Linked DNA regions of Callithrix jacchus. The protein of the gene in region 2 interacts with the protein of the main gene of each other region in a biochemical or structural test. Links are inferred from orthologs where the notes say so. Each region holds a gene or a part of one and is shown on either strand. Other genes may lie near its edges.

Region 1 (4,315 bases), on a different chromosome or scaffold from region 2:
CAATAAGATTTATTTAGTACAATAACTTCTTTACTTATCAAAGTTTAGAAGCACTAGACTAAATGATAAAGAGAAAAGAAGCTGCTTAGGATAAGGAAATAAAAGGTTAAAGTCAACTTAAGTATTAGGATACTTTCTTAGCATGTCATGGGGTTACCTGTCATCTTTCCTCTTTGGTTCCATTTATTTTATGGGGACATTTATGTGGAAAAATGCCTTTGCTTTTGTAATGGTATTAAATAAAGTCTGCACTCTTTTTATGTCAACTAATTTTTCCACTATTGTTATTATGTTACAAAGTACAAGCTACTTATAAACATGATTGGTTCAATGAGAACTTTTAGAGTATTGATAACCTAAATGTGGACATCTACATAATCATTAATTTTTACCACAATGCTATAAGGCAATATAAGCACAATTAGCCTCTGTGATCCCTGAACATAGCCTAATATCATTCACTCAATCAGCATCATACTGGAAATGATATGACCAATTATGGCAGGTAGTAGATGTCCAGTCACACTGGTATTACTTTTAGCCAGATGTCTCTTGTCCTTGTGAGTTCTTTTGGTCCTAAATGGTGAAATAGCAACAGAGCGAACCAACTCACCCACTCAAGGCAGATTTCTTATTTCTAGACTCGTCCTGAAACCAACAGATCCAGATCTCTCCTACCAAATACCATGAAATTTAAAGAAACAAAACTTACGGAATAAAGCAGCAGCAGCAACAACAATGAAATCTTAAAACAGTAAATATAAGTATCAAGCATCGAAACCCCCTCTCCAAACAATATCTCTCTTCTTCAATAAGGTTCCCAGAAGGTAATTCAATTTTTTAGCTGGTGTCCAATATTTGGGATCATTTCATTCAAGACTGAAGTACTTAAAATGGTTTTTTTTAAAAGGAAAAAAGTTAGATTTCCAGAGAAAAGTAAAAATTTTTAAGTTGAACATTATGAGGGATTTGATGGGGGCAGCTTTGCCAAGTAGAACTGGAGACTGGTCCACTGTTTAGGCTTTTTACAAAAGACTGCAAAGATTGTTTGTTTCCATACACGAAGTCACCAAGTTCACGGGCCCAAAGGCAAATGACTTGCACTAGGAACCCGAATAGTGCTGCTGTTAAATCATTTGCAAATGGGTGGGGCTGAGATGACACAGAACCCTGTTTTCCCAGGTAGCATCTCAAGTATAGTTGATTGCACCTTCAGCCCCACAATGAAAAGTATAGTGTAAACACAGCTAAGGGACTGCCTCCTTCAAATTACATACAAGGCACACCTACTAACAGGAGATGTTGTGAAAGCCAGGTGGGGCTTTGTCTTTCAAGTCCCTACATCCAAAAATAAGCATGTTCTGTACCAAAAAAAAATAGAAAAGAAAAAAAAAAGAAAAGCAAGCAAGGGTGATGCAACTGCATTCATTGTCCCTAAGGGGAGAACAGGCAATAACTGTCAGACCCAAGGATAAACAGAATCCCCCTTTAAGAAAAGATGTTGGCATTATGTTAGGATTGGGCACATGCCAGGATGATCACACTTTTTTACAAAAGAGAGAAAGAGAAAGAAAGTTAAGACCCATTTGTCTTATTTCAATCACTTTCTTCAGAATTAACAACTTTAATCAACAGGTTGCTTTCAGAGTATTGCTGGACATCTTGACTCTCTGCCATGAAATGCTATGGGAATTCTGACAGTTGAGAGCCAACGCCCCACTAGACACCAGTGCTGCATAACCACACTTTTAATAGACCCCAGAGCTGTGGTGACAGCATGCCCTTCCCAGTTTTTCCACAGACGGTGCTCCTGAAATTTTCCATAGTCAGTGTATTCTTGTGGTTAATTAGTTATCTGAGCAATTTCCATTATAGAAAGAGTATCTGTACATAATTAAACCCATCTTAGGATCAAACTGCCAGGCTTCAATGCCATTAATTCAGAGGGCCAAAATGAAAATGAGATAATTATCACCTGATGAAGGGACCTCACTAGGTTAGATCCTATCTTCTGAAATACATAGAACATTAAATTTAAAAAAGCAAGAGAGTTGAAAACAGGTGAGGGAAGAAACTGGAAAGGTAAGTTGCCTCTAGAGACCAAGGAATAACACTCCTTTTCAAATTATTATCAAGAAATCTTGGGGGAAAGATAAAATTAGCAAGAGAAGGCTATTAGCTGTTACTCACCTTTATGAAACCATTTTCAGGGATCGGTTTGTTAAATTCCACTGAAACGCGGAGGCACACAGCACAGCCCTTCTTCTGGGATGCACAGTCATGCCATACAGAAGTGTGTGGGTAGACGCCAAAACATGTGTGGACCTGCAACCCTTCCTGTAGAAACTCAGCATTCTGAGCAGTAACAAGGATTAACCTTGTGTGCTCATGGAGAAAACTGGTGGCTCCACACATCCAGTTGTCCTTCGGGTTATTTTTGCATCCAACTTTATAATTTCTTTTAATTACTTACTGTAAAGCACAGGAAAGTGCTCATTACTTGTAGCTTAATGCAAGTGGAAAAATAATTGAATATGTTCTCCTAGCCACTGCTCTACCCCAGCTCCCAGCTCTTCTGAAGTGTCACTGTTCATCTCAACAGCATGCGTAAGGCAGTTTCCAGGCCCTGTGCATAATGAGCCATGTGGACCCTATTCAAGAAACTGGCGGTCCTCCAGAACTACTATAAAATATAAGGAAAATATTAACATCTTAGATGACAAAAGATCCATATGGCTGGCCAGAAAATATCCGCATCATTTAAGCCATTAGAATGCACCTATATGGAAACATTCGATTTGGCGGTACTGTGAATAACAGGACTGTGAGAACATCTGTTTGTCTCCACCCATTTTCACTAAACACTTATTCCTATAGAAGACATGCAAACTCAAATGCCAACATATTTCATCTAAGCATAGGACAGGGACTCCATTTATACAAAGTTGCTATAATAAATACAATATAGTATTTGTTGGTGATAGGATTTTGGAAAATGCTCTGGGCAGCTGGAAAAATAAAATGTTTCTCTTTGTATTAAACTTGATTTAAAAATAGCTAACATTTATTAATGGTGAGGTAGATCATTTGATTATTCACTATTTATAGCTGAGGAAACTGAGAGTTTCAGAGCATTGTGGTGGATTCCCTAAGATCACAAACCCACTATGTGGTGGACGGAATATGAACCAGTGCTGGCTTGCTATGCCTCTTTCCATATGGGGTCAGACATGGATGTGGTATCTTATAATGTGAGGGTGGTCTGCTTGGCAGAGATATCCCACAGACCCTGTGTGTCAGTTTCTTATTTATTTAAACAAAGCCCCATATGATCATTTCTGATAAGCAGTTTGTTTACACACCAATTCCACAGAGGTTAAATATAACCCTAATGTTTCTTTGTTGCTACTCTGTTCCCCGTATTGAATTATTACCACAAGGTACCGACCATACACACATACTTAATAGGGCATCGTGTCAAAACTATGCATGAAGGTCATTTGTTTGAGATGTCAGAACTTTTTCCCCTGAGAAGATCTCTTTGAGTATTGAAACAGAGCCACATGCTTTTCAGACCAGCAACCACAACTACCAAATACTCCTCTGTCAACTCTACTTGAGTAAGAATGCTTTCAATTAAGGCCTAAGTGTCAACAGGCCATTAAAAAAAATCATGGTGACATAAAATCTTTCTTTTTGGCACCCAAACAGAATCCCTTCAAAACCTGGTGGTCTGACACACTATGCTACGTGACTTGTGACCCATCCGTTTGTCATGTTCTTCGGGAATGTGGCTGAGGGGCTGAGATGTGACTTGAAAAGAAAGGTAGAGCAAGGTAATCTCAGATTATCAAAGAGTAGTTCAGACAACTAGTTCAGACCACAGAGACAGCAAAGCAGGTGGTCTGGCATGGATAGAGCATCAGACATTCACCGACTATGCCAACAAGAGCCATCGAGTCAAAACAGCCAAAAGAAGGAGGGTCATGGAATGGGTTCTCTCACACGGAACTGATGCCCAGAGGCTCTTGGCATGAATAACAAAGGCAAACAGACCCACAAGCCATACTGAGTTGATACAAAACTGATACCTGAGCTGACATCCCAAATGATGGCACAAAAGACAGAACACCTTGCTTCTGGTCATTGTCAGCTCTGGGAAGAGAGGAGACTTTTAGAGGAGCAGCTGCAAGGAGCCTGAAAACAAAACTGGAAATGTCTGTTGTGAAAGGCTTCACAGGTATTATTAACAAAAGAAATGTGTATTTGTCAATGGTGTGTTGGCTAGGTTTTGTCAGTCCATTCTTATGCCCAG
Region 2 (4,102 bases):
ATAAATAAATAGAACAGGCTACTACATAACAATTCTTGGTTAAGGAAGTGGTACTTTACTTAACCACTTTTGAGGTAAAGGATATTAAACAAAGGCTCCACTTTTCTTTTTTTAAACCAGATACAGAAAGGATGAGACCACAGATGATCAACAAGGGCAATTTTTTTTTTTTTTGAGACAGAGTCTCGCTCTGTCACCCAGACTGGAGTGCAGTGGTGTGATCTAGGCTCACTGCAACCTCTGCCTCCTGGGTTCAAGTGATCCTCATGCATCAGCCTCCGGAGTAGCTGGGATTACAGGTGCATGACACTGAGCCTGGTTAATTTTTGTATTTTTAGTAGAAACAGGGTTTCATCATGTTAGTCAGGCTAGTCTCGAACTCTTGACCTCAAGTGATCCACCTGCCTTGACCTCCCACAGTGCTGGGATTACAAATGTGAGCCATGGTGCCTGGCCAAAATAGCTATTATAAATAAGGTCACTGAAAAAACACTGGGAGAGAAAAGCTAAAAAAAAAAAAAATCATTAGAAACTGCTAAATGAAAGAAATAAAAGAAAATTTCTTAAAGAAGGAGTGGTTTTAGTTTGGCTCATCCATAGATTTGGCCTTAGAACCCCTGAGCTGGTTTTCTCAACCTCTTGCTTTGGAATCAATCAATATATTACAAATGACATATCAATTCAAACTAACCAGGAAGACTCTGCCTCAAGGAATAAACAGAGGCAGGGCATAGTAGCTCAGGCCTCTAATCCCAGCTCTGTGGAAGGCTAAGGTGGGCGGAGCACTTGAGCCCAGGAGTTCAAGACCAGCCTGGGCAACTGGGCAAAACCCTGTCTCCAAAAAAGAAAAAAGAAAAGAACAATTAGCTAGATGCATGTGCCTGTAGTCCCAGCTACCTGGGAGGCTGACGTGGGAGGATCACTTGCACCCAGGAGGTCAGGGCTGCAGTGAGATGTGATCGCACCAATGCATTCCAGCCTGGGCAAAAGAGTGAGACCTCATCTCAAAAAAGTAGTAATTACACAAAAATTAGCTAGGCATAGTGGTGCACACCTGTAGTCCCAGCTACTCAGAAGGCTGAGGTAAGACCCTGTCCAAAAAAAAAAAAAAAAAAAAAAAAGGAGTAAATCTAAATCCAGGAGTAGCTGCAGACCTAAAGTTAGGTCAACCAGCAAGAGAAGAATTTGAAATATGGAATAAGAATGCTGTGTCCAGCTGGCTCAGGGAAGGAAGTGGTCCAGTATAAATTAAGCATCAGTGTTGTAAAGCCTTTCTCAACCCCCCACTGTGAGAAGGAAGTCTATTCTATTATTTTTTTTTTAATTTCTCATCAAGTAGGAAGACTTCCCAGTACTCATTCTACTCAATCTGTCCCACCCTTCAGCACTAGCTTGGCCTCCTTTATACAACTGCTGCTCCAGCTGCACTAAGCACAGTTATTCCTGAATACTTGTGTCTTGTGTCCCCAGATCAGAGAATTCTATCACAGGTAACAAGTATGGTCCAGATAACTGGGCAGTCCAAGGGGAAACTGAGGCTTGGCTGATATTGAAATGTGATTACAGAAAGACAAGTGCAAGCACAGAGCCTTGGCCACCCATCCCTACCCCCAAGTGCAATTCATTCTCTGTGAAAGAGGAAAACAAGCAAGCAAGAAAATATATAGAATTGAAAATACATTATGCAAATGTAGCTAGCAAGAATTAAATTGTTAATTATAGAGAAAAAGAAGATGCCCAAGTTGTGCAGAAGCAAGAAGCCAGGACTTTCTTAATAACTGGTTTTGTCAATCCAGTAGTGTGCAAAGGTTGAGCTTGCTTGTCCCCAGGGACAGAAATACCACAATTCTGAAAGTCTTTTGACGGAGAACTGGCTCAAAGCAGAATGTATGCAATTCCTTTCCTAAGTATTGAAAATCTTATCACCACAGATGTAGACATACTAGTCAGGGTTCCGTACCACGACAGAAGGTCAAATCTGAAGGAGTAAGAGAGATCACATAAATACTACCATCTCATTTCCAAGCTAGTCCCCTTAACTATCAAAACACACACGGTGACCCGACCGCTGCTTCTGGCCTCCTGAACTCCCGCCTCTCCACCCCGAAAGTACTGACCCAGGGAGGACACACCTTTGCTTCTGCGCAGCCCAACTTCTGCAACCGCTCAAGAGTTAATTAATTACTCCTCCAGCTTCCTGGGGCCTAACAGCTTTACTGGGTCCTGATTTTTTATACAGACGGAAAACAATGACGCTCAAGAGATTTTGACAACTTAAAAAAAAAAAAAAAAAAAAAAAAAAAAGAAGAATGCGGTGGAAGTCTAAGATTGCCTCCCCTGTGACGAAACACAGCCCAGCCGGCCGCCCGGGCCCGACTCCGCCCGCCTGCCCGCCGCAGTTTCCGAGCTGCGGCCCGGGGTGGCGCGGACGCGGTGGGGCCGGGGTCTCCTTCGGGAGTCGCGGGGCGAGCTAGGCGCGCGGGCCGGGAGGGGCGCACTGGCGGCACCTCGAAGCCGAGCGGCGCCCGGCCCCGGCGCCCGCTCACCTGGTGCGTGTTGTTGGCCAGCTTGGCGACGAAATCCCGGACCCGGCCGCATTCCTCGTCCTCGCCGGGCGCGCTGCGACGCCAACGGCCGCCGCGGGGAAACGCGCCCCCGGCCGCCGCCGCCCGCAGCCCCCAGCTCACCCCAATGGGGCCGGACCAGCGCAGCAGCGGCGCAGCAGGCGGCGGCGGCGCGTCCAGCCGGTCCTGGCCGAAGGTCGCAAGCGGCAGCAGCTGCAGGAGAAGAAAGAGGCCGAGGCCGTGGGGCCAGCGCAGGAGGACGGCCGCAGCTCCTCGGGGTCGCTCCATCGCCGCCGAAAGCCGACGCCGCCGACGCCGCCGACACCTGCCGCCCGGCGCGCCCGCCTACCCCCGCCGGCGCGCGCCACACCCCCGAGCCGAGCGCGGCGCTCCTTGGATACGCGCGGCCGGGCCTCTCCGCCCCATAGGCTGGCCGCCTGTCCCTCTTTCCCGGCCCACTTCTCATTGGCTCGCGTCGCCTCCGGCTTCGGGGGTCCTGGATTCGGATGCCAAGATGCGGGACTGATTGGCTGGAACGTGGCAGAGACTGCTGAGGTCAACCCCGCCTCGCCCAGCGTCTCCAGGGCCCGGCTGACTGAGTTCACGTAAGAGCTTTTCCCACCTTCCCGCCGAGCCCCGGGCTCCTGGCGCCGCGACCCCTCGCCGCACCTCTAGCGCCCTCAAGTTGGAGCTGTGTTACTTCCCTCTTGTTCCCCAGAGACACCCCTAAAATTCCTTCGGTGAGGCAGAGCCTGGAAAATCTCCCCCGGGGAATCCCTGAGCTCGCTCAGCTGGAAAAAGGAGCTCCATCATGAACCGGGGCTTCAGGTTTTTATAAACCCCGCTCACTGGAGCGCCCATTGTCGGCTAAGCAGCCCCCTTGTTGCCAAGGTGAATGCGAACTGGTGTGGGTCACATCCTACGGAGACAGACGACAGGACATCCGAGACTCCTGCAAGCCTGAAGAATAGACTTTCCACACGTTTAGCCTCTTTCGCCTTCCTCTTCTGCGGGGAGGTAGGCCAAAGGCGGAATTACAGGTTTTCCAGTACTTCGAATGTAACTTAGACATTAGGGGCAGGTAAAAGGGGGCAAATGACCCAATGCCTACCGTTTACATGATAATTTCCTAGATGCACATGTACTTTACAAGAATGCCTTAGCTCTGCAGTGAGAGCTTCGCACAAGTTTGGTTCCAGTATGTGATGTCCTCTAAATTAGAACCCCAATCCACCTCCAATGAATAAAATAAAAGCCCTACGCTGTTCCCTTTACTGCAGAAGCTGCACACATAACTTCTACAACACGTAGTACAGGTAAAACCAGTTCTGAATCCTTAAACTGACTCTGTCCCTTTGGAAAGTTAGAAATTGTTGAGTAGAAAAGGTAGCAAATAGAAAGCTACAAAATATGCAAATCGTTACACTCAAAGAAAGTAAAGATGACTTTTAACTATACGCTGGCCATAAAACCAAATGAGGGTATACAATGTACAGCAAAATGATACAACGCAGCAACCCAATATTTACATTAAAATA

The links. The genes of interacting proteins can lie anywhere in the genome.
Region 1: the proteins of SORT1 (region 2) and BDNF form a complex in vitro, tested with the Homo sapiens proteins (2 studies listed by BioGRID and IntAct, with this or other methods). The link is inferred for Callithrix jacchus from reciprocal best matches to the Homo sapiens genes SORT1 and BDNF.

The regions. Positions count from the first base shown.
Region 1 is NC_133511.1:93,064,222-93,068,536, forward strand, and holds the start of BDNF (neurotrophic factor BDNF precursor form), read right to left. Parts: upstream 2,926-4,315; 5' UTR 2,416-2,925; coding exon 2,191-2,415; intron 1-2,190. UniProt on the Homo sapiens protein: Important signaling molecule that activates signaling cascades downstream of NTRK2. During development, promotes the survival and differentiation of selected neuronal populations of the peripheral and central nervous systems.
Region 2 is NC_133508.1:147,277,837-147,281,938, forward strand, and holds the start of SORT1 (sortilin), read right to left. Parts: upstream 2,918-4,102; 5' UTR 2,853-2,917; coding exon 2,547-2,852; intron 2,242-2,546; exon of another isoform or gene 2,133-2,241; intron 1-2,132.